4 linked regions of the Neodiprion lecontei genome follow. The protein of the gene in region 4 purifies or fractionates together with the protein of the main gene of each other region. This does not show direct contact. Links are inferred from orthologs where the notes say so. Each region holds a gene or a part of one and is shown on either strand. Other genes may lie near its edges. The genes, in order: DNA polymerase alpha catalytic subunit, protein phosphatase 1 regulatory subunit 12A, DNA topoisomerase 3-alpha and replication protein A 70 kDa DNA-binding subunit.

What was found.
Region 1: the proteins of replication protein A 70 kDa DNA-binding subunit (region 4) and DNA polymerase alpha catalytic subunit purify together in Homo sapiens (affinity purification with mass spectrometry; 3 studies listed by BioGRID and IntAct, with this or other methods). This does not show direct contact. The link is inferred for Neodiprion lecontei from reciprocal best matches to the Homo sapiens genes RPA1 and POLA1.
Region 2: the proteins of replication protein A 70 kDa DNA-binding subunit (region 4) and protein phosphatase 1 regulatory subunit 12A fractionate together in Homo sapiens (co-fractionation; 3 studies listed by BioGRID, with this or other methods). This does not show direct contact. The link is inferred for Neodiprion lecontei from reciprocal best matches to the Homo sapiens genes RPA1 and PPP1R12A.
Region 3: the proteins of replication protein A 70 kDa DNA-binding subunit (region 4) and DNA topoisomerase 3-alpha purify together in Homo sapiens (affinity purification with mass spectrometry; 4 studies listed by BioGRID and IntAct, with this or other methods). This does not show direct contact. The link is inferred for Neodiprion lecontei from reciprocal best matches to the Homo sapiens genes RPA1 and TOP3A.

Annotation. Positions count from the first base shown.
Region 1 is NC_060264.1:15,990,622-15,995,493, reverse strand, and holds the start of DNA polymerase alpha catalytic subunit, read right to left. Parts: upstream 3,023-4,872; 5' UTR 2,734-3,022; coding exon 2,718-2,733; intron 1-2,717. UniProt on the Homo sapiens protein: Catalytic subunit of the DNA polymerase alpha complex (also known as the alpha DNA polymerase-primase complex) which plays an essential role in the initiation of DNA synthesis.
Region 2 is NC_060261.1:7,037,575-7,042,208, forward strand, and holds the start of protein phosphatase 1 regulatory subunit 12A, read right to left. Parts: upstream 3,020-4,634; 5' UTR 2,866-3,019; coding exon 2,617-2,865; intron 1-2,616. UniProt on the Homo sapiens protein: Key regulator of protein phosphatase 1C (PPP1C). Mediates binding to myosin. As part of the PPP1C complex, involved in dephosphorylation of PLK1. Capable of inhibiting HIF1AN-dependent suppression of HIF1A activity.
Region 3 is NC_060263.1:2,644,352-2,651,368, reverse strand, and holds DNA topoisomerase 3-alpha, read right to left. Parts: upstream 5,082-7,017; 5' UTR 4,957-5,081; coding exon 4,738-4,956; intron 4,603-4,737; coding exon 4,259-4,602; intron 4,179-4,258; coding exon 4,060-4,178; intron 3,979-4,059; coding exon 3,632-3,978; intron 3,560-3,631; coding exon 3,271-3,559; intron 3,097-3,270; coding exon 2,598-3,096; intron 2,521-2,597; coding exon 2,175-2,520; intron 2,072-2,174; coding exon 1,612-2,071; intron 1,533-1,611; coding exon 1,289-1,532; intron 1,202-1,288; coding exon 963-1,201; intron 930-962; exon of another isoform or gene 894-929; coding exon 853-893; 3' UTR 765-852; coding exon of another isoform or gene 678-764; 3' UTR 522-677; downstream 1-521. Other genes in the region: uncharacterized protein LOC107225596, read left to right, coding at 5,340-5,407, 5,648-6,050; phosphatidylinositol N-acetylglucosaminyltransferase subunit Q, read right to left, coding at 6,311-6,507, 6,580-6,694, 6,818-7,010. UniProt on the Homo sapiens protein: Releases the supercoiling and torsional tension of DNA introduced during the DNA replication and transcription by transiently cleaving and rejoining one strand of the DNA duplex.
Region 4 is NC_060264.1:2,098,277-2,105,250, reverse strand, and holds replication protein A 70 kDa DNA-binding subunit, read right to left. Parts: upstream 5,028-6,974; 5' UTR 4,736-5,027; coding exon 4,706-4,735; intron 4,634-4,705; coding exon 4,586-4,633; intron 4,260-4,585; coding exon 4,063-4,259; intron 3,934-4,062; coding exon 3,767-3,933; intron 3,535-3,766; coding exon 3,432-3,534; intron 3,348-3,431; coding exon 3,185-3,347; intron 3,037-3,184; coding exon 2,832-3,036; intron 2,741-2,831; coding exon 2,628-2,740; intron 2,545-2,627; coding exon 2,378-2,544; intron 2,292-2,377; coding exon 2,054-2,291; intron 1,912-2,053; coding exon 1,828-1,911; intron 1,748-1,827; coding exon 1,553-1,747; intron 1,424-1,552; coding exon 1,310-1,423; 3' UTR 539-1,309; downstream 1-538. Other genes in the region: ATP-dependent translocase ABCB1-like, read right to left, coding at 35-92, 171-301; ubiquitin carboxyl-terminal hydrolase 5, read left to right, coding at 5,736-5,831, 5,911-6,036, 6,285-6,461, 6,540-6,646, 6,742-6,974. UniProt on the Homo sapiens protein: As part of the heterotrimeric replication protein A complex (RPA/RP-A), binds and stabilizes single-stranded DNA intermediates that form during DNA replication or upon DNA stress.

The sequences.
Region 1 (4,872 bases), about 14 Mb from region 4:
AGACGGGTGGCCACCCTGTCTTTCAAATTTTGTATGAATTACGTATATTTTGTTATTTTCAGAGCTTGTTTTCACGGATATCATAAGACAGATGCACAGGTAAGCCAGCCACCTCCAGTTGTCAGCCACTTACAAATTTAGTCCAAAATAATATCGATACTATGCTTAATTTAAACAAAATTTGTATGCTTTTGTGATTTGTAATCTTTGCTAAGATAGATGTGACTTATATTTTGTACAACAATCTGTACTGCAAAAAATAATACATTAAGCATTAAGGGTGGGAGAAGAACATTGCGTAGCAGGTTGTGTCATACGCAGTAGTTCGGATGGAAAAAAAAAAACTTGTTTGATTGCACATCGAAAGCCTTGAACTTGAAGAAAGCCGCCTGATCATTCCATTCATCATTATTTAAATTCATATTGTATAGTTATATTGGAGGAACAAATTATTTCGGTCCGTTTTTTTCGCTCAAAAAATGCATTTATTTCAAAAGATAATGAATTAACAAATTAATCAAAATATTGTCCATCACTGCTTACAACTTTTCCCCACCTCTCAGGCAATTTCGGAATCCCGTGTAAGAAAAACTTCTCGTCTTTTGCGGCAATCCCAATTTTGAAGCCAATTTTCGATTTCTTCGAAACAAGTGAAGCGGTGACCTGCCAAATCGTGTTGCATCCGTCGAAACAGTCCGTAGTCAGAAGGAGTAATGTCCGGAGAATGTGGCGCGTGCGGTAAGAAATCCCATTTGTTCGTTTCTAAATATTTTTTGACAACTTTTGCGACATGAGGCCGAGCGTTGTCATGCAAAAAACTTTATCATGTCTTTCCTTATATTCCGGTCGTTTTTCTCGTAATGCACGGTTCAAACGAAGTAATTATAGTCTCGTTTTGCGTTTGACTCGGATCTTCATTGAGTAATGCCTGTAATTCATCGTCTACGAATTTCAGCTGTCCCGAGCGAGGTCTATCTTCAACGCTGAAATCACCACTTTTGAAGCGCCAAAACCATTCTCTACGTGACTTGTCAGTTGGAGCATTGTCACCGTAAACTTTCACAAGCATACGATGAGCTTTAGCTGAACTTTTTTTCCAATTAAAACAAAAAATTAAAACTTCCCACAAATGGTGTTCAGTTATCAAAAAAAGTGACATTTTCAACAGCGTAACAAAAAACGTTTTATATGAAACTCACAACAATACAAACTGGATGTTATCGGCAGGTGTCCAATTTGTCTAAAACCAGGGCAATCAGCTGTTACTACTTAAAAATTGAATGTTTTTAGAGCCACGTTTATAGATCCATCTTTTGAGAACGGACCGAATTAATTTGTGCCCCCAATACATAAATTGTGTGTTGAAAATTACGGTATGCAAAGATGACCAACTATCGGCGCATCTACCCTACTGAAAAAAACGAAAATAATTGTTAACGTTCTTCAGCAATGCAAATACGTTACATGTGTCCGGCATTCCTTTAAGTAAAATTTAAAGTATCACAGAAACCTTGAAAATAATTAATCCAAGGTGGTGTTTCGAGTTGCAACTTGGAGTAACACAGCTTGAGTATTTGTTTGTGAAATAATTGGTTCAACAATTTGTAAACCAGCGAAAGTGGATTACATTTTAATGAATTGGAGTTTCTTTTGTCGTTCTATGGCCAATAGTTTTTTTAAAATCGTATTACCCGATACTTGGTCTGTGATGACAAATCAATTGTTCTGTACAATCATTTTTCATCATGGGATTAAATTCCTAACTTAACGAAGCATTTAAAAGAAAAACTATTATTTCATAACCTGAGCATTTCCCAGGAATTCATAAGCCGCATTGAAGCAAAACTTTTTCATATTTTGGAAACTTAATTCCTTTAGAAGTTATTTTGAAATAGTAAAATATTAACTTTTGTCTCAATGTTTCATCACGATAACATGACTAACTTCGACCTCGTGCCCTTATGCTATTATAATAATTTTGAAATTTGTATTTAGTAGAGCAGTTGTATAATGCAGGTTATGAAAAAAAAATCTCGATATTAGTAGGACTAATAATTGGTAGATACAAGATACGGAATACAGTCGATTCAAACAGCATGGTAAAAACTCATTTCGTTAGAAATTTATTAGTGGTCAAAATATTGTATTTTTAGAAAAAGTTTGTAGGATCAGTAATGCATCCCCTTTACTATGTACATAAGGTTACGTATTTCCACAGTTATCAAACTGCAGATCTTCACAAAAGCTGACCATAACTTGCATATGAGACCGAAATTTGTAACATTTGGATAACCAAATAATGTCGAAAGAAAAATTACCATTCTATAGCTTCGGTATATCTTTGAAGGACTTGAATGGGCAAAACATGAGTGAATTGATGCTCCATTACAGTTTACCGGATTTCAGACCATCCTCAAATTGCGAAATAGCAATTATCAAAATCGCATGGTCACATTGACGTTACGAGTTTCAATCTCACATAATCCGATGGTATCGCAGTGGTCTCTAAGCTAGTATGGGGCGAGTTATAACAGGTGACACCGGTGACATTAATCGTGACAAAGAATGCAATGGATATGTGACGATATCGAGATTGACAATAATAAGGTTTTAGGATATCTATAGATCTTCGTCAAGCCAATAATTTTAAAATGGATTATTTGTCGAGGGAATACGACTTGACATTGAAAAATGCACGTTAAATTAGAAAGACTTACATGCAGGTTCATCCATGCTGATGTAAGAGCGAAACAAACGAACAATCCAAACGTCATAAAGCTAACACTAACACTCCACAACGGAACACTCTGCGTTCTATGGAGCGAATAAGAAGATCATAAAATCATAATCTACACCACAGATCAGGAGGGAAGCAGAAAATATGATTTATAAAACACGTGGCTGCTAAGAGCCGAGCAACTGCACCGACGTGTAAACAAAATTTCACAACCTACTACAGTAAAATTAGCGGGAAAATTGCCGCAAGGTGCCAACCACTGAAAAAGATGGTAAGAATACTACCAACACTCATTACACTGTTAAGATGGAAAAAGAAAGATCTGCCTCCTGACGGGTCAAGTTAAAACTAATAAGAGAAGCAGGTAGAAAACAGGTCAATATTATACCTATACTTAGGCCGTCATTGACACCCAAATAAATTGATTTCTTTTTAATTCTTTGTTGGTCGTTTGTTGATGTTTGATGATGTATTCCCATGTCTGATAGTCAATGGTTTAGTCGTTATTACTAAAACAAATTTAGCTAGAGAATTCAAGTCGTTGACGGAGGACCTTATAAAGGTTTCTCTCTGGTTAGAACATGTATGGGTGCCTTCCATTTACTGACTCAAATCGACTTGTGTCGCTATTTCTGGTGTAACCGGCCAATCTGGGCAAAGGAATACACCAGAAATAGCGACACAAGTCGACTTGAGTCAGTAAATGGAAAGCACCCAACGTATATGGGTGCTATTTCATGAGCAGTAAAAGGCAGCAGCAGCAGCAGTTTTCCCCTATCACTTCCGGCGCAAGTTTCTGCTGCTCGCAGTTTAGTTTTTCGAGCGACAAGCCACAAGATCACAAGAACAGTCGACCTATTTCATGAGCAGCGCTGCTGCTGCGTAAAATTACCAGACTGATGCTAGTGAAAACTACTAAGTTACTAAACCACTGCTGCTTTTTACTGCTCATGAAGGCCGTGTTCGTAAATTGACTGCCAGTACTAAAAATTCCCTAGGACAGAGACAGAGCTGTTCATGAACTCGGCAGCGCAAAATAGGTGAAAGATGGCTGACAGTACTGTCAGTCAATTTTCGAACACGGCCGAAATAGCACCCTATGGCCGTGTTCGTAAATTGACTGACAGTACTGAAAATTCCCTAGGACAGAATCAGAGCTATTCACGAACTTGGAAGGGCAAAAGAGATAAAAGATTGCCGACAGTACTGTCAGTCAATTTTCGAACACGGCCTATATGTACAGGATCAAGGTCCCTAGATTAGACAGGTCAAGACACGCATGGTCAAAATAATTAGTGAGAATGCGCCAAAAGTTTCGTATGACAATAGATGGTTTCCATTTAGAGCACAATATGACACGGTGTAAACATTTCTGGTCTATTTCTTTGCCCGGGTTGGCCGCTTACAATAGAAATTTGTACACTGTGTCACACTGTGCTCTAAATGGAAAGCACCCGGTGTGGTTCTGATTCCTGACCTGTCACAATGATTAACCTCAAAATATATACGTGCTTCTATTTATTTCGTGAACGTCAGGACACGAAGGGCGCAACTCGTTAATGCTGAACCTCAAAAAATTGAGCAAGATTGGTCAAAACTGGTTAATGCGGTAATGTAAATTTGATATTTTTTGGGCGAACGCGCATAGAACATTTTTGCCCACGTTATAGTGAGAAAAACTGGAACACACGTGTCTTGACCTGTCTAATCTAGGGACCTTGTACAGGATAAGCCAGCAGTGCTGCCAGTGCTGCCGCGTAAGAGAATCTTGCAACAGCCAATCATTGCTCAGCTTACCAGAGAAATTCAGAAAGCATCATAACAATACGATTCTTCGGTTCTTCCCAACAATGCATCGAGAGGATGCGTAAAACATCCTAAGCATCATAAGCATCATCTAGCGAGCCCAATGAAAAATCAAATTTTAATTAACTGTGTGAAAAATGTCAGCAATTCTGAAGGAAAAATCCGGATGTATAACCGAAGAGCAAAAAACTGCTAAATCGGTAGCGTCTGAAAGTGAGAATAAACATATTGCTTGAATTAATTCAAGACCTAGTGCAATACCTCTCGCAATATTTATATCTACTTCATTATTTTGTTAGTTACCCGTGTTCATTTCCGGGTATATTAGA
Region 2 (4,634 bases), on a different chromosome or scaffold from region 4:
CCGAAATTTATGAACTTTGAAAAATGTGTACGCGTACATTACTGAGTTTTCTGCATTGATGAAACCAAATACCGAGCCCTAATTTCTAACTCCTCTGAGACGATATTTAGCTCCATTAACTGACACAATAGAAAGTGAATTGATATGCCCATTAGAACCAGGAAAATAAATTTTCAAAATAATTAACCTTGAGGAAGCAGAAATTTAGCAAGGTTGGGACAAGTGTATTCTCATATCATTGTTTCGCTGTGCAATATCTTGGATTTTACAGCTCCGTGTACGTTTTTCTTTCATAAGCGCAGTCACCTTTTATTCGATTCTGGATGCTCAAATAATTGTAAAATTTGTCTGAGTACCACTGGAGGGAATTGCGACGTAGATATATGTTTGCAGAACAAACCTCTTTTCAATATCATTCGGTTTAACATCTCACAATCAATTCGATTTACCAGGTACTTCCCACAAGGGTATTGGTTGAGACCTGGTACAATTACAAGGAGTTTGCACTTTCGGTAATGTATCTTCTCCAATGGATAGTGTATTGTGTTAGAGAAACAAGCATGTTTTTACTTTGAATTACAATATATCATTAATATATTATGTTATTTGGCATGTTCTTCAACTGGCCATTACAAAGTTTGACGGAATAACTAATTCGCTGTTCTTAGTCTGTACGATATCGTGCATGTATATATCATGGACATAAGTTGCTCCAACTCAAATTTATCTATATGCATGAATATCAATCAATATTTCTATCACGCCAGCAAATGTTTCGTTACCATTATTACGAGATACGGTAGTTGGCATATATTATTTTCAGGTCGACTCGCAAATGACTCGATGAATAGGTCGACTAATACATTATCCAAACTATAAAGATAAATGATGAATGGCCAATTTTGCATACGTCAGCGAGTTCATTCCTGGCTCAAGTTCATGAGTCTTTTATCTCTCAGTTTTTACGTTTAGTGTAATATTAGTAAGGTAAAAAGAAAATTTCACTTCAACTGTTCTGGATAACGAAAAACATGAAAATCAAATTAGGAAGAATTTATCCTTGGCCATGCGTTCGTTGATATTTATTTACATTTCCGTTCTTTCAGGGATAAAATTTCTTTCGTATAAGAGAAAATTCATAAAACCAAATGTCGAAGAGAAACATTGAACATATTCTGCGGTAGAAATTTAATTACTGGATACCATCAGATATTGCATTAAGCCACGTATACAGTATAAACTACTCTGTTCCTTACTATTCGAGTGATTTGACATGCCCATAGCCAACTGGCACAAGCCGATGTAATGCATTCAGCTTACCGTTCGGTGGGTAAAATGGGATAACACTGAAGAAAATTTAATTTCAAATTCTAATTATTAACGAAAGAAACTACGTTGTTGCATACTAGCACCCAGCATAGAAGTAAATTACAGTAACTGATGAAACACCGGATGCATTTGAGTTTTTTTCTGAAAATCTAAAACGGAAGAAATTCAATTATAGCAGATTACTAGTGTCCCATATACTGGAAGTCTGATGAACGCTTACCAATGAATCCAGATATTTTCCCTGACTTCCAAAGAGAAAATTACTTGATATTAAGAATCAGTAACTTCTGATGATTTCCATTTAGAATTTCGAAGAATGAATTTCGTTCATTGCCACATTACGTCTCAGCTTACCAGCTGTGTTGAGAATTTCGGTTATCTTACTTATAGGAACTACGTCTTAAGCGATAAGATGATAATTATCTTTTCTAAAAACACTGTATCGTTGTTGTTTTGAATTTTAATGTTTTTCAACTTGTTGTCAGCGATATTGTCAAAAAGTCAATGTGACGTGTGCTGTTTTCAAAGTAAACAAAGAATTGGGACAAGAACAGGTGCCTAAAACTATCGTCGACAACTTAGATAAGGTTACTCGGTGCTTTTGCAGCCCTGGAAAAGGGTCATCGTCTCAGAAGCTTGGTACGCCATGTTTAGCAATACGAGAGTTGACAGTCAGCTACGAGAAGGTGTAACACCGATTTCAAGCGATAAGCGATGGAACTGGCCAGGTGACAGAACGCACAATCGATACACCTCACAGGTGTGCAGCTGGCAGAAACGAAAAATTGAATAGGAATGAAGAAGCGCATGTAAAGAGACGAGGAGGAGACGGAGGAGCGGCCGACTTGACGCACGTCAGGAGCAAACCGAGAGACACACATGTGAACAGCAAGTGAGGGATTGCGGGTGGGTGGGGGGAGGGGGATTCAGTGTGCGAACCGTGCCAGTGGCGACCACTCGAAGGAATTCCTAAATTTAACAGGCTCAGTATCGGAGCGGACGAGGTAATCGTTGAGTTATACGAACGATGGTCGAGGGAGGAATGAAATCTGGCTCCATTGAGGGAAATCCACGTAAGCGGAACGCCGTTGTTTGCGATTAAGGAGACAGCTGGAGTAAACCGCGGCCATCTTAGACACACATACGTCTTTCTCGGGACGATATACCAACCCGTCAGTATCCCGACTGACCGGGTTTAAATAGACGATTCTCCTGTGCCGCAGGAACCGAAATCGCGAAACGGCGACGGGAGGCGAAAAGAAGGGAGGCGAGCAGGGTTCGGATTACCTGGTGGAGGGCTGTCAATCCATCTACGTTCCCGGTGTTGATGTCGGCCCCCTTCTGCAACAAACGAATCACCTCCTCCTTGTCGCCCGCTGCACATGCTGCTAAATACACACAGTCCGCGGAGAATTTAATCTTACGATCAATCTGCCTTGGGTGGGGTGGTTCGCGATTTGTTTCCGACGTTTCCCAACGCTTTAACTGTTCGGCCCTCTTGAAAAGAGCCGAACTTGATCGAGTCTCTAGAGACATTATTTGATCCACACTCTCGACTCACACTCACTTCACTTGCTCGCTACCAGCCCCCATACGATTTCTGTCCACTGTAGATGGAGGGAGCGGTCGCCCGACGCCGAGGCACCTCTAAACTCGTGCTAGGCTATTCTTGGAACTGCTCGGAATCGCTCGGCCGACTCGGAATGACTCGGCCGCACAACCCACGCGCTACCTCAAATTCGTGGTCAAAACACAAACTATCCACGGCAGACTTGTCTAGCTTAACATTCGTTACTCTTTTCTGTCAGTTGAGTTGCCTACCGTACGGCGGTTTTACACACATATTGGGCGTGTTCGGAAATTGACTGAAAGTACTGTCAGTACTGAAAATCTACAGTATAGGTCACTTGGACTATAATATTTTCAGTACTGACAGTACTGTCAGTCAATTTTCGAACACACTCCTCGAGTCCCCAAGTGCTTTCGGTAAAGCTGGGATTTCATGGGCAGCAAAAAGCAGCAGCAGTTTAGTAACTTACTAGATATTACTAACATTTGTCTAGTAATTGACGCAGCAGCAGCGCTGTTCATAAAGGCCGTGTTCGAAAATTGACTGACAGTACCGAAAATTCCCTAAGACAGAGTCAGAGCTATCCACGAACTTGGAAGCGCAAAAGAGATGAAAGATTGCTGACAATACTGTCAGTCAATTTTCGAACACGGCTTGTGAAGCAAAAACCGGAAGTTTTTGGGGAGTCATCGTGCCCCAGTCTCCCCGACAACTATGTCATCTGGTAAAACACTGACAAAGAGTAAGCGAGCGCACGAGCACAAAAACTAGTTACACTAGGCGTCCGACCCCGAACAAGCTTTAGCGAGCGAGTGTTTTAAAACTAGTTTTATATTATCACGGAAGTAGCTGGTAATACAGTATTTGTGGTGACGACCTCTGTCAAATCAAGAATGGCACGGAAAAAAATGTTATGCTCTATACTTTTGCCCCATTGTTGCGATATCGCTTTGGTCCCGATCTTACGAATAACGAGTGAGGGGAGTACCAAGTGTCCATACCCTGCATTACCGTAACTACGGGGTTTATTTAAGGCGCCAGATAGAAAAGAATAAGAAATTGACGTCGGTATGTCAGTTGACCAATGACCATGCCAGCATTACGAAATACGTTCTTTGTGAACCACTGGTCTAAACCGTGGGTGTAAACATAACTGATGGAATACAGTGCGTGCGAGAGAGATAGCGAGTTGAATTACGCACCTCTGGTGTAGGGTTAGGGAACTCAACCCAGCACACCACCAGTAACCAACTTCAGCTCACCTAAAGAGCTCAGTTTCAGCTGGACGTTTTGGTAGACGTCTCACTGGACGTCTCTGCTCTCTTCAGTCGAGTAGAAACCTAATGGTAGACGGGTGGTGGATCGGGCGGCACAGTGTCATTGAAATTATGTGATTAGTGATCCGGAGTGAGTTGTAGTGTGTTCGTAAATAGAAACCTGTTAAGTACTTTACAACACCGGATACTATCGTTTCCCTTTAATGGAATGTGAGTTTACATTTACGATTACATTGTCCATTACTATAATTTTTTTTAAACTCTCCTTTTATTTTTCTCTGCTTTTGACCGACGTTTGTTCCCCCACGACGTTTGCATTCTTACACGTATCGCGTGTAGTTCGTTGGATACATCCGAGCGCATAAGGCTTGCTCAATTCAGATTCCGAGCTAACTAGCAGACTACTATCAGCCTGCTTTCTTCTCAAACCACGAGTTTGATTGGTCCGAAGCCTTTCA
Region 3 (7,017 bases), on a different chromosome or scaffold from region 4:
GTATTATCAGTGATACAAGATGGACTCTTGGTTGTTTATACAAACATAACCAACAATATTCTTGACATTTCATCGAGGTGTGCGAAACATGCCGTTGTTTTCAAACAAGTTTTCACCCAAAAAAACGCCTACTAGAAGAGCATTCGTTTCGTTGGCAAACAAGGATCTTAGCCCTAAAAGGATCGAAAAAGAATTAGGGCCTGATGTTGGACCCATACGTTTGCGACTCGGTGACCAAGAGACTGTATTCGACAGTGGACAGTGGATTCCTGGTAAATTCAGTCGAGCCCAATCTCAGAATACTTTTCCATTTTCCATTTCTTCATTTTCATAGAATCTGGCAAAGTTGGTGGAACTTACAAAGAGAATGAACGACTCCGAAAGGAAGTGAAGAAGCTTGAAGAGGAGAATAATATTCTGAAGCTAAAGTTCGAACTAATGCTTGACATGGTAATTATCCCTCTACTGTAATAAAAAGTCGTAAATGATGTCGTTAGTGCTATTAGTAAATTACACTCTCATTACTGTTATCTCTGTTTATTGGCTCGTTGTATCTCTGGGACACCAACAATACGCGTACAATTGTTTTAACGCAGTAGAAAAAAGATAGCGTATTACACCGTTCTTTATGAAAAATGAAACTAATGTTACAGATTTGATCGTTAATTTTTTTCTAGCTGACGCAAACGACAGCAGAGTCTAATTTATATGGCAAAGAACTCGACGCTCGTAAAGATAAACCGTCACACTCGAAAAGTACTTAGGTAATTACACATAATATCACATTTTTACAATTAAACTATCAAAGTCTTGAAGATTTTTCTTATTATTAAATTGATTCAATAAATTGTCTTAACCCGCATCATTTTGTGAACAGGTACGTCTGGTATGACCTGAAATATCGATAATTAAATTATCCATTTGGTAAATAAGTGTGGTAATTGTATACATCAAAAACATACCTTCTTGTCCGCAAAGACCGCACTTCCTTTTACTTGGATTTCTTGCTCTAGGAAGATTTGCATTTTGTGTATTTCTACCTCCTCGAAAGCCCCCTGTGTGTGTTCTCTGTCCATTATCGCATGAACCATCATCGTCATTTTCATCAGCCCATTTAAAAAATTTACATGTAGTGCCTATTCCTTGAGGGCATCCATAAAATTCTCTTCCTTTGTTAGGACCTTCCTTGTGTACGGTAAGTCTGTGGATATTACAGAGAGCAATTGGTGCTGGTAGAATTCGGATGTGCATTAAAATTTGAAGTAAGTCATTCCATTGGTGGACTCACTTTCTTGCCGGTTGCCCACACGTGCAGGTAATGCCTTGAGATGACGATGATCCGCCAGCTTCTCTATCGAACCTCATATTAGTTTGGCTCTGCTGTGTTTGATTACTATAGCTGCTATTGGTATTCCGAGATGGTTGCGAATGATTTCTGTTTGCATTATCATTGGGTAGAGCATTTTCTGCAGCCCAGAGAAAGAAGTCACAGCTGTTTTCTTGCGGTTTGGCACATTTGTAGAATTGTCTTCCTGCGGAAATTATTTTCAGTAAAAAATAAACAGAGAGCAAAAAATGTGTTACTAAGGTAATACTGTATTTCCAACTTACCTTTATTTGTCCCCTCTTTACGTACAGTAAGCTCTATTGCTCTTTCATGACAGTTACAGAGAATCGTGTCATCAGTCTCCATATTCTGTTGATTCTGATTACTAGACCGATTAGAAAACTTATTATGTCGTACAGAAGTCGTCGAAGGTGCAGAGCTCCAAGTAGACACCCCAGAATCAGTACGGCTTGTGTCATTTGCTCTAGAATTATTTATCTGGCCATTAGGTTGCCTTTGTGCGTTTTGCCGTGTTTGATTTGCTCTAGGATTTTGATTTGAGTTTGTTTGCGGTGCTCCACCATTACCAGCTTGTGGCACATTTTGTACGCTATGTGTTCGAATATCAAAAGTCTCATTGAGCACTGTATCACATCCTCCTATACAAGAGGTGTAAGAGGTTCCAAGATGCGGCAGGGTACCTTGGCGCAAGGTAAACTTAAGTAATGGCATATTACCTGGACACTAGAAATAGAAACAATCTAATCAATCTCCATCTTGATACTACACACTAGAAATTCCGAGGCCCAAAGTTTTTTAATGATTATTTGTTAATTGTTTAACTTACCCTGTTACACTTGTTATTCAAAACTTCTATATTCTCAACAGTGGTTGGAAACCATATCGAATTATTACATGTCGGAAACGCCATGCAGCCAATATATTTGCCAGGAGAGTTCCTTCGATCCTTTAATAACATATTACTCCCGCACTTTGGACACTTGTATACAATTATATCTGGATCCGGGTTTGCTATTTCAGCATGCTGCACCTGCGCTGGTTGCTCGTCAAGATAGTGTGCAAGCGCTTCGTCTATTAATCCAGCCTGCCGTAACGTTGCTGTGAATACTGTTTTATACCTGGATATTTGATCCTGCAAAACATCCGCTGGCTGTTTCACACCGTCGCATATTCTGAAAGAAATTATTTATTTCTCTTTTATTTCATTATAATGATATTTTATTTCATAACTAGTTGATATTTCACCCACAGCTTTAAATCGTTTTCGAGTCCTGCTCTGAGGTGTGGTTTGGACATATGAAAGCCCATACTGTCGTAGCCCATGACCAATCCAATCCCGAGCTTTCCGGGAATGAAATACTTTTGATCCTTCAGGCCCACGTATTGCCTTGATTTTATTTTCTCGATATGTTCAGCGTGAGTTGCATCAGTGCCAATTCCGTGCTTATCCATTAAAGCAATTAGGTCAGCTTCTGTTAGCAAGTTTGGAGGTGAAGTTTCCCCATCAACCATTTCAATGCCAGTGGGTCTGAAAGTTTGTCCCTCTTCGTATGCATGGATTTCTTTTGCATTCCACGTTTCGTACGGGTACACTTCTAAGTAATTTTTGGCAATTATATGAAGACCACTTGCTATAAATTTTTCCTGCGCAATATCAATGTGAACAATGGTCTCTTGACCTTCTGCATCCTTTGATATACAGGCCAAAAAATGACGAACTATAAACTCGTATACACGAGCCTCATTGCCTGTAATAAAGTGGATTCTTGATTTAAAAAATTGTTATACAGTCAGAAAATTACTCCAAGCGGAAATTTTTACAAATTTTTGGGAAAATTGATCGTTTTCCAAAATTTTTGAAATTTTCAAACCATGATTACGGTCTAGACTAATAGTAAAGTTGATAAAGTTTTGTAACATACCTCCTAAAGTAGCAATGTACTTCGTAGGATGAATCGGAGGGTGAGCTCCATCATTTTTTTTCCCTTGACGTGGGAAAGGCCCGTTTTGCAGTATTTGTTGTGCAAACGGTCCCCACTGTGGACTTGCAGATTGATGTTCGACTAGTGGCACAAGATTGAGTTCCTTGGGAAAAATGTTAGTTTCTGTACGAGGGTAGCTGATAATACCTTGAGTGTACAGTTTCTCTGCTATTTTCATTGTCTCCTTTGCGTTTAGTTTCAACTTGCGTGAACCCAATTTGGCTAATTCCTATAAAATTAATACAATTGAAGTGTATCGGTTGTCATATAATAATAATTTACATAAATCAGTTGTACTAACGACGGTGTCCAATGGCAGCGGTCTCCATTTGCTTTTCGGTTTGCACGTAACTTTTTCTACAGTTGCAGTAGGAGATTCTAAACACATGTCCAGAAATATCTGGCACGGAAGGCGTTCAAACAAACGATTTCTGTCCCATCTAAATTCCACCAATATTCCATCACGATCGTCCGTGACTTTGATTTTCCAAAATGGCTCTGACTTGAAATTTTCAATTGCGAGAAACCTCTCTACTACAAAACCCAGGGTTGGAAACTGGCAGCTGCCATAGCTGATTAACATCTCAGCTAGCGTTTGTGGAAAAACCTTTTGAAGTCTCATTGTTTGAAATCGTGTAAATGCAGCTCCTGTTGGGATAACGTTGACATATTTAACCAATACAACTCTAGCCACATATCATCGTTTGATTAATTAAACAATTAAATTACCTATTCTCAAGTCCAATTCGCTCCTAACGTCGACAGCATCGCTTATGGCTTTGTTCGGTATTCCTAAATTATGAAGTGCTCGAGTCACCGATGGAGCAGTTATTTCCGAAAATTTTGCTCTGAAAAAAATAGCCAAGTAAAGATATACTTCGAACTGGTAGTAACATTTATTGACAGTTTTGACCTTGCCAATAACTACCGGTATATCTTAATGGTGGGCTTCACAGCTTGGCAAACTTGTATAACTTCAAAGCCTATGTTTTCACCCTCTCGATCGCAATCTGTCCATATAATCAGTGCCTGGCAACCCTTAGCCTCCCTCTCTAAGGTTTTTTTTATTTTCATAAAATTCTCCTCGCACTGCTTAACCACAGGTGCTTCAAATAGAGATAGTGGATTACATCCCTGCCAATTACGATATCCTCCGACAAATTCATGATTCAACAGGTGACCAGATACCGACGTCATTATCATTTTGCACTGCTGGCCCCATAGCTGGGTATCAAATTCGTAGATCTTGTTATATACTGATAGTCCTTCTCGCTGAAAATAATTGACTTTACTAGTACTATTGGCGTGTTAATTGTTTATCTGACCAGTTACGATATTTCAGAGTTTGGCAGCAAGTGGTGTTGTGAATTTTACAGATGAAAAAACAAAATAGAAACCAATAGTTACCCGATGCGAAGACCCACGTGAAAGATAGCCAGCTATACCTTTAGCTGCGTCATTTTTTTCAGCAACATTCAACACCTTCATGACGTTTTTACCGCTATTGTACAGCTCTTTGACAGTATCACTGCTACTTAATTTGGCCAGTTGAATCCATGTAGTTCTTAAATCTATAAACAAATATTTCTTAACCTTTATCTTCGTAATTTTCGATGTAAATTTCATGCGGACAAGTAAAAGCGAAGAAATAAAGAAGAAATAGACGTTAACGAAATACTTTTGACTTGATAAGATTAGATTATTGCCGCAATCAATCGTTTGGAATTAACCAAAAATACTCGGTGATTAGAGAAGTGTTTTGTTCACATTCTACTCACCAAAAACTAGCCGGTTGATCTTTGTTTGTAATACAAAATGCATTAAGCAGTTGCGGTATACTGAAAAGTAGAAAACATGAGTGAAAAAAACTCCGAAGCTTAGTGAATTTACGTAAACCTAAAGCATACTTTTTCAAATTAATATTAACTTAAAATAAATTATAAAATAAATCGAAAGTGTGTGTTGACATTTGTTTTCGGTTATGTAGAACTCTGTAGAACTCCAGAATCATGGCGTCTGCTATGCTGCGCAGAATTGCTGGAACAATTTTCTCCGAATGTAATTTACTAACGCCAAGGTAACGTAGATTTTTCACACTGCTTAAAGTAAGCTATATTTTATTGTAGTTGTGATTCGCTTTTTCGTCTTTCAACCTCTTTAGATTAATCAGCTATACAATAAAAAGAAAACCCATTTCTATTTGAGGTTAGGTCGCTTCTTGTCTACCCGTTTATTGCACCATAATACGCAATATTGTCCTGCAACCATTAATATCAGTTCGTGATACTAGAATAACTGGATTTAACTTTACTTGCAGAAAACTATCGACACCGATAGGTTGGAGAACCTTGGCCAACGTTTCAAATAAATCAAAGGATTACAAAAATGAGGAACAATATGAAGAGCCATTGCGATTCACCGGTAGTAAGGCTGATACTTGGATAGCTATGAAATCAAGAACGGGAAAAATATCGGATGAACCTTGGTACCAGATGTACGTTGTGATTGCGAGCACAGCTGCGTTTCTTATATATTTCGGCATTCTAAGGGAAGAAAGCGACATCGATAGACACTTTGATTTAACGCTTTATGATCACATAGAGGGTCTAGAAGAAGTTCAATTAAGAGCTGTCCTAAAGTTTAATCGGGAACGTAATCTTGATACAAAAGAAATAGAGGCGAGATTGAGGGAAATCGAAAAACAAAAAATGGACAAATAGTGTCTGCCGTATTTAGTTTCATTTAATCCTACACTTCGATTGTATGTCCGAAAAATTGAGTTCCGCTCTAGCTGTTAGTATAAATAAACGAGTGCTTCTTTTGTGGCATGGAAATTGCTTGGCAATATTCCCATAACCTGTAAATAATCTACAGTATACTACATAATATACAGTAAACAATAATAAATAATGAAATGAGATAGAAATAGCAAAAACCATCAATCATTTATTAATAGTTTCTTAATACATGGAGCGGTTATTTACAATGGGTACAAAAGCTGACCCCAAAACACATTTCTCACAATTTTACCCCACTCAACCGGCAGGTGAGGGTTTATCGTCTCTAGAATGCAACGTTTCCAAGTTTCACCCCATGGAGATACAACTGTTGACACGATTAGGGTGGTAGGACCTTCTCCACTTCTGGGATATATCTTCATGTTTATTGTACCTGGAACAGCATTGGAAATTGCACATGAAATACCGTCTATGCATCAAATCAAAATAATCTATTATCGGCTCTACTTACTGCTCATAACTGGGGAACGAATAAGCCATTTTACAAAAGCATAGACTGGCAGAACTTGTAAGTAAAACTTAAGTCTGGTGAGAAATCCACCTAGGCCTATTAGGACGAGTCGAAGCTATGGAAAGAAAATAGATCTACCCGATTTACTTGTGATACACTCGAGTAAGATTTTGTTTAATAATTCTTTCTGTGATTTCAATTGATTTCGAATTTAATTGGTTTTTGTTTCATTACTCACAATAGTGAAAACGGAGTAGTAAACCCATGTTGTTGGCATTAGAAACAGGAGGATAGTGAACAGCAATGTTCCAACAAACAATTGATCAGCCTGATACTGACATGAATCCACTCTCTCCCTTAATGGATTCTTCTTCTTTCCAAGGAACAAATGGAACAGTGCCATCAGGCCTCTCAGCTGCATATTGAACAGTCTGTATT
Region 4 (6,974 bases):
GGAACAACCAAGTCATAGTAAATAAAATACTTACCAACTTGTAATATGCAATTGGTCGGTATTTTGTGAGTTTCGTTAACTCTGTTGTTTGGCTGAAAATTAATGTGTAAAAACGTAAGTACAATGTATAAAGTAATACAAGCTTTTCATTATTATTCAAAATAACTGACCTTTTCTCAGTTCCATCAATTGTGTGTTCGTTAATTCGAAACCCTGTTATTTTAATGGGATCTGTGTTAGGAAATTCAGTTGCACGTTTTTCATCTGGCAGAGTTAGTTTCAATTTTTTAGAACTCTTCATGATTGTTTTGTCAATGTCGACTGACACTATACTAAGTTATATTATACGAGATATTCCAAGCAACACGTGTCATATCAGTACACTATCAAGATATAGAAAAATAACTTTGTCAATTTATAGTCAGAAACATAAGCTTATCAGAATGTAGTAAGTGACTTGCTGAATTAAGATTATCAGATATGATCAGTTTTGTAGCAAAATATCTGTCTGACAAAAATGTTTAATTCACTTCTTTCATTTTCCTTTAACTTCAATTTTTTATTTATAAAGCATTCTAAAATAATTTTTCTCAAGTTTTCTTATTTAGTAATATGCCCATAAATTTAAAAAAAACGACCTTGATACGAAATATTACCAGTTCCAGAACTTGCTTTCTCATAAATGTATTAGGGGTGTTAGAGTTATTATCATTGATCGTGAGCCTACGAAAATTTCCAGGCTAATCAGACCTCAGCATAACTGCCAACATTCTTCATAGCTGCCGATTTTCAGTTCACGTATCTCGAGTTAAAATACGACCAAATTTACAGCAAAATTCGAAGTTTATTTTAATAAGTATACGAGTAAATATATGTACCGTATTGTTCAGAGTACAAGCCAACCCCCAATTCTAAGACAGTATTTGAGGGAGTTTTTCTTAGTTAACTACATATAAGACGAGGACGATCTTGGCGGATGCTAACAAAAAAAAAAAAAAAACCTCGGGGTATATTCGGAACAATACCGTATTTATAAATGGTACAATATATTCGAGCACATAGAGCAAAGATCGTGGAATATTGGTGATCAATTAAAAATATTCATTAGAGTAGCAATATTCATGGGACACTTATATAAATTAACTTAATATATTGATAACATTAAACCGAATCAGCATTGCATAAATTGTACAAACCGCTGTTACAAGCTCGGTATAGTGAAAATAACAATAATAACAACAATAATAATAATAATAATACCTTACAATAACGTTTCAACATTTAAGTAATCGAAACTTGGGCTAAAAATTTATGCCTTGCCCATGTTGGAAAGTTCTTTAATTTGCGCGATCAGATGATTGTTGTAGCTTTTAATATCCAGCGGGGTCACATTCACTACGGTGGACTTCAATCTGTTCTCATCCTGTAAAAACAAATGGCATTTAGGCTTAGGTGTTGAAAAACAGTTGTTCCAATTTAGAACTGGATAAAAATTATATTTGATATCCTGAAAAAGTAACCTACAAATTTGAATGGAAGCTGAATGACTTACGCTATAGTTTTCCATTTTTACTCTCAATTTGAGAAGGAAAGTTTTGAAAGCAGATTCACCGAACTTTTCAAGAAACGCTTCATCATCATTATCCTTCAATTCACCAATTTCTTGTGCCGTCATTCCCAAAATCTTTTCAGCCTCCTCATTGAACGCGGTTACCCATTGGTTGTCTGTCCAGTCTGCGAGATTGATCTGAGACAAGAATATTCATGATTGAGTCACAAGACTGCACTCTCAGAAATTGACACACTAATATTGTATTTGATACTCACACTGGCCAGCAGTCGATATTTGAAGTTTGGATAGTTCCTGTTACACTTTTCACAACGATACATTTCATTGGACTGATCGATAAGCTGTTGTATGGAAAAAAAAAATTATTGTTGGGCTACATTTGGGTACATTATTCTTTCACTGAGGCATTTGTTTCAAAGTGTGACATTTTTAAGGGCAATTTTTCCAGATGTGCGCGCTTCATCAGTATCACGAGTTACTTACTTTTTTTTTACAGTCATCGGTCGGGCACGCTTTGTAAAGAGAGTTTTCAGTCCTTATCATATTGATAGTTGCCTTGACGATGAAGTAGTCGGGAGTTTCTCTGCAGCCCAGCTGCATGTCTTTAGCCTCCTTGAACGTCAACCACGGACCATTCATTCCCCCACTGCCACCGCCCAGCCCCTTAGAAATGGTATGCACATTCTCTGTGCATCCAGTTGTGTTGTACCAACCACGGAGCCTAATAAGTAACAATGATATTCAGTCAAACTGTCTCATTGTGTGCAAATCTGTTGCTATGAGAATCGGAAGATTGACAGTTTGTACCTATGAGCTTCGGGAATGTCTGGGTCAATCTGGAGCACTGACGAATTAAGGGTAGACAGAGATTTTCCACCATTAAATTCGGCAAGACGTGCACCTTTCACGGCAACAACAGGATTAGAAGATCCATCAAACTCGTCCGCCTGGGTTCCCCATAATGTGAGAGTAACCTGAATTGAATAAGATGTGACAATTAGTCAGTTTTACTAGGTATGTTGAACTTGTGGTGATATGCTAGAAATTCTTCTGGTACCATTGTATTGCTTTCGTCAACAAGATTGACATCCCTCTTCTTAAGCTCTTTTCTTGTAGTCCTCGCAACTACAGTTGTGATATCACTACAAGATTTGCAAACGCCAAGCACATCTAGAAAAAAGAATATACCAGTACGAGTAAAAAAATATTTGATATCTCATTTCTTAACACAGGCCCGTGAATGGGAATAACAAAAACATACCAATTATTGCATTCGGCTCCTTTCCATCAATTTCACTGATTGGTGCAAAATCGTACTTCACTGTTGGGATCTCGTCAGAATCGTCGTGACAAGGAACAACCTCTGTTTCGGATGTCATTGTCATCTCGTATTCATTTTTCAAATTACTGAATTGCTTGTTCGCTGGCTTCAGTTGACAACGTGAAATATAGTAAATTTTTCCAAACTAGTAAGAAAGAAAAACTTGATAAAAAAAATTTGAATAATTTTAACAATATATTACGTTACTATAACAACTGATATTAGTCACAAGTTAATGCGTAGTCACAAGTAGTCACAAATGATTGCATGAAAATGAGTTAATCTGAACATACCTCGATCATGTTGTAAAATTTGTCACATTGATCTCTGAATGCAGTGCAGCGAATCTCGCCAGTCTCATCGACTAAATCCATAGAAAAGAGGGAACCTTCGCCACGTGCATTGCTCCACGTTTTTATAGCTGACTTATTGGCTACTCTAGCTCTGATTACCCACCTGTTAAGTAAATACACAACTTTCAATTTGTAGTTGCATATTTTTTACACCACAAAAACTAAAACTGCTAAATGACATGATTACCTGTTTTGATAAGGACTCAGGGCTTCTATCGGTGTAGTTGAGATACCAGCACCAGAGGATACTGAATCATTAAGATAAGATTGCTGCTGTCTTCCAGGACGAACTATTAAAAGTGAGATTTATATATAATTTTGCCACAAATTCAGTTAAAAAAAAAAAAAAAAAAAAATAGTGTTTCGCCATAGCATAACATAAGAATAAAAAGGTTAATTAAAAAGAAATAAGTAAATATGAATCTTTTAGTGTTTAACAGTATCAAAATAGTATTTAATTAAGATTGGATAATACCGACGATTCTGATTCATGCAATAACACAAGTGTTTTTCACGGTTTACCAGAATTTGAGGAATTATTAGTTTTTGGTACAGGCGCTGCTGATCGGGCAGCAGGAGTAGAATCTCCGTTCTGTACATTGCCGTCTTGCTGGGTAGGATTTCCTATTTTGCAGCCCACTTCAGTGCCCGGAATCTTAACGTCAATGTTGAGTATGACCATCACTCTCCTGATTGATCAAATAGTAAACCGAAATTCAGAAAAAACATCAGCAATCCATGAAAAAATATGTCCGACGATTCTAATAAAAAAAAATAGTGATATGGAACATGTAACACTTGTTTTCCTGTGAACTTACTTCTGTGTTCCTGAATTGTTGATCATACTAATTGCGTATCGATTAACTTGGCACACGGAAAACTCTGTCAGTTGGTCGTTGGTAATCAGCGAGTTTAGCTGTGTAGCCAACATCGCGTATGAGTTAATTCTTTTACCATCTGAAACTAGGAGGCGATAGCGCTCCTGAGTGCTCGCCGATTGCAGCTTTTTGTGTCCCTGAAAGAAAAGTATTATGACGAAACAAGAATTTCCAGAAATAGTAGATAGAACAGGGGAAGTTTGAAAACAAAATATTAAACATCTGAGACAACGAAGGCGCTTTACTTCAAGGATGTATCATAATAGTTAAAAGAATAATTCAATCTCAATTGTATTAGAATGAATTGAAGTATGTGGATTAAGCGACTGTTCGATCGTTATTAGATTGGAGTATTGGTGGATTGATGCTTCAGCGTGACTGTTGGCAGATGGTTAACAATGAAATTCTGTTTTATGGGTATCCAGTGTATGAATCACGTATAATATTGAATGGATCTGCTCACCAATATCTGTAAAATCGGCTTTTCGACCTCGACACCGTTCATGATTTGCTGTGGGAAAAAATTCATTGACATGAACGATTATTACACGAATATGTTAATAAGATACGTCAGGAAACTTACGTCCAAGGCTCCTTCACTAAGTTCGTACATTTTTCCGGAGTAACGAGAAGCGGTCACCTGTTCAATTCTCAAAAAATATCTCTGAAAGTTTGAAGAACCGTGATGCGGAGTAGGAGATTCACTTGCTCAGTGTCATTAAAACGTAAAGGAAGTGAGGTTGGTGAAGCGTGCCTCGAAGACACCGGACAAGTTGTTTCGCGCCAAACAATGAAATAACAAGGATTCCTTGTTCCTCATTTCACATTTCATAGACCTTCCTCGACAGAATAAGGAATCTTATTGGCCTCCTTCTTTCAAGGCAGATCTCGAGCTTCCTTGAGGAAACCTTCGGCACTGCGATTGGCTGTTTCGTTTCATGTCGCCAACGCTTGCGCTTGCGCTTGGCGTCTGTGCACTTATGACCCGTATGACGCGATCACAGCCAGTTTACAGGTTAACTTCTTTGAGGTTATACACTCTCATCAGCAGTTTTACCACTATAAGCAATCACATATCCCTAAATATGTCTTCCTTCTGGAAGGGAGAGCCAAGTTGTGACTATGAAACGAGGACGCCTCGAGATTCAAGGAAGCCTTCATCAAGGCGTTCTTTATCCTTGAGATAAGGAGGGACTATGAATACGGGTGTTAGCTCCCAGTGCTGTCAACAATCTCTTATTTCTTTTGCACTGCCGAATTCGGCGGTAGCTGTATCTCTATCATACGAAGTTTTTAGCCCTGCCAGCTAATTTTGGGAATGCATAGCCAACGGTTTCGCATTCGCTATTACATACCGGGACAATCTCTTGAAACTATACATAGGTATAACTATGTGTTGCAGTAAAACGCCGCTTGACTGTTGATTTCCGGTTCCACATCGGTTTCCCTTTGATTAACGCAAATCATTGACATCAATTGTGGCCGGCTAGATATTTGTTGGTTATATTCATCATATTTACAAAAAGAATGAAACTACGGACTGTCTAGTGCGTAAAGAATCCTCCTGATATTAATTTCCCACGTATATTAAATTAGATCTACTGTTTGACACGATGGGCGAGCTAGTACAGTACTTAAATAAAATAAAAATACCCCAGCGGGGAGACAAAATATATAAAGATGAATGTGTTTTCTCGTTTGACACACCAGTGAGTTTCATATTTTATTCTGTCGCACTGTACCTCTCATTTTTCCGTATCAAGTCTAATCGTATAAATTCTATACAAGGAATCGCCGAATGGACTCTACCTCAATCTTACAACATATTTGGGACTAGGTCAGGATCATGTCGATGCTTACTATCAAAGGACCAATAACCCTGTATTTCTTCGCTTGAAGAGATCAAAAAAAGAAGTAAGTATGCTTCCTTTACTTGTTTTCAATTATAGCTTACCATACGTCAGTTACATTCTGCAAAATTTATTCCAAAATGTTACGGCTAAGTTCTCAAGGCATAACGTATAAGTCTTTCTCTAAATATGTTTACGAGAGTCGTTGAATGCAGTGGAAACAGATGGTGAAACAACAATTAAAAATATACTTCTGGATACTGACATTTATGGCACTTATTTTTCCAACTATTTATCTATAACGTATTACAGATACCTGCCGAGCAGCAAGGGGATGGTCCTGAGAAAAAAATAACCCGTTTAGCGATCGGGGTTGTGGGAGGATTCACACCGGATACTAAAAAATACGAGTATGACGAATCCTACGAGATTGTTATATTGCCCAATTATGTAACAATACCGTATCCTAAGGATGATTTGCCTGAACAAGTATGTGCTATATTAAGTAGTGCGCAAATAAGCAGTATCCAGTGAAGAATTTAAATCAATCGTTAAATTATTCGCCAGGTTAAAACTGCCATAAAATCTCTATTGGAAGCAGAGTCTGCCTCAAAGTTAGCAGAAACAGAAGCCTTAGCTGGAACTTGGGACGGAGAAGCGAGAATAGTTTCAAAGTAATAGACAAAACTGACGAAATTGATAATGTTGGCTTTACATGTACTGAATTATTATTACCAAGGCTAAACCAGGTTATTTTTTCATTATCCAGGCATGCCGCAAATTTAAAACAGTTGGGCAATGGAAAGAAGATTCCTCCAAGCGGCTGGAAATGTGAGAACTGTGATTTGACCACGAACCTATGGCTCAATTTAACCGATGGGTCAATACTCTGCGGGCGGAAGTTTTATGACGGAACTGGTGGGAATGATCATGCCATTGAACACTATCGCACCACGGGCCACCCTTTGGCTGTTAAGCTCGGAACAATTACCAAAGAAGGAA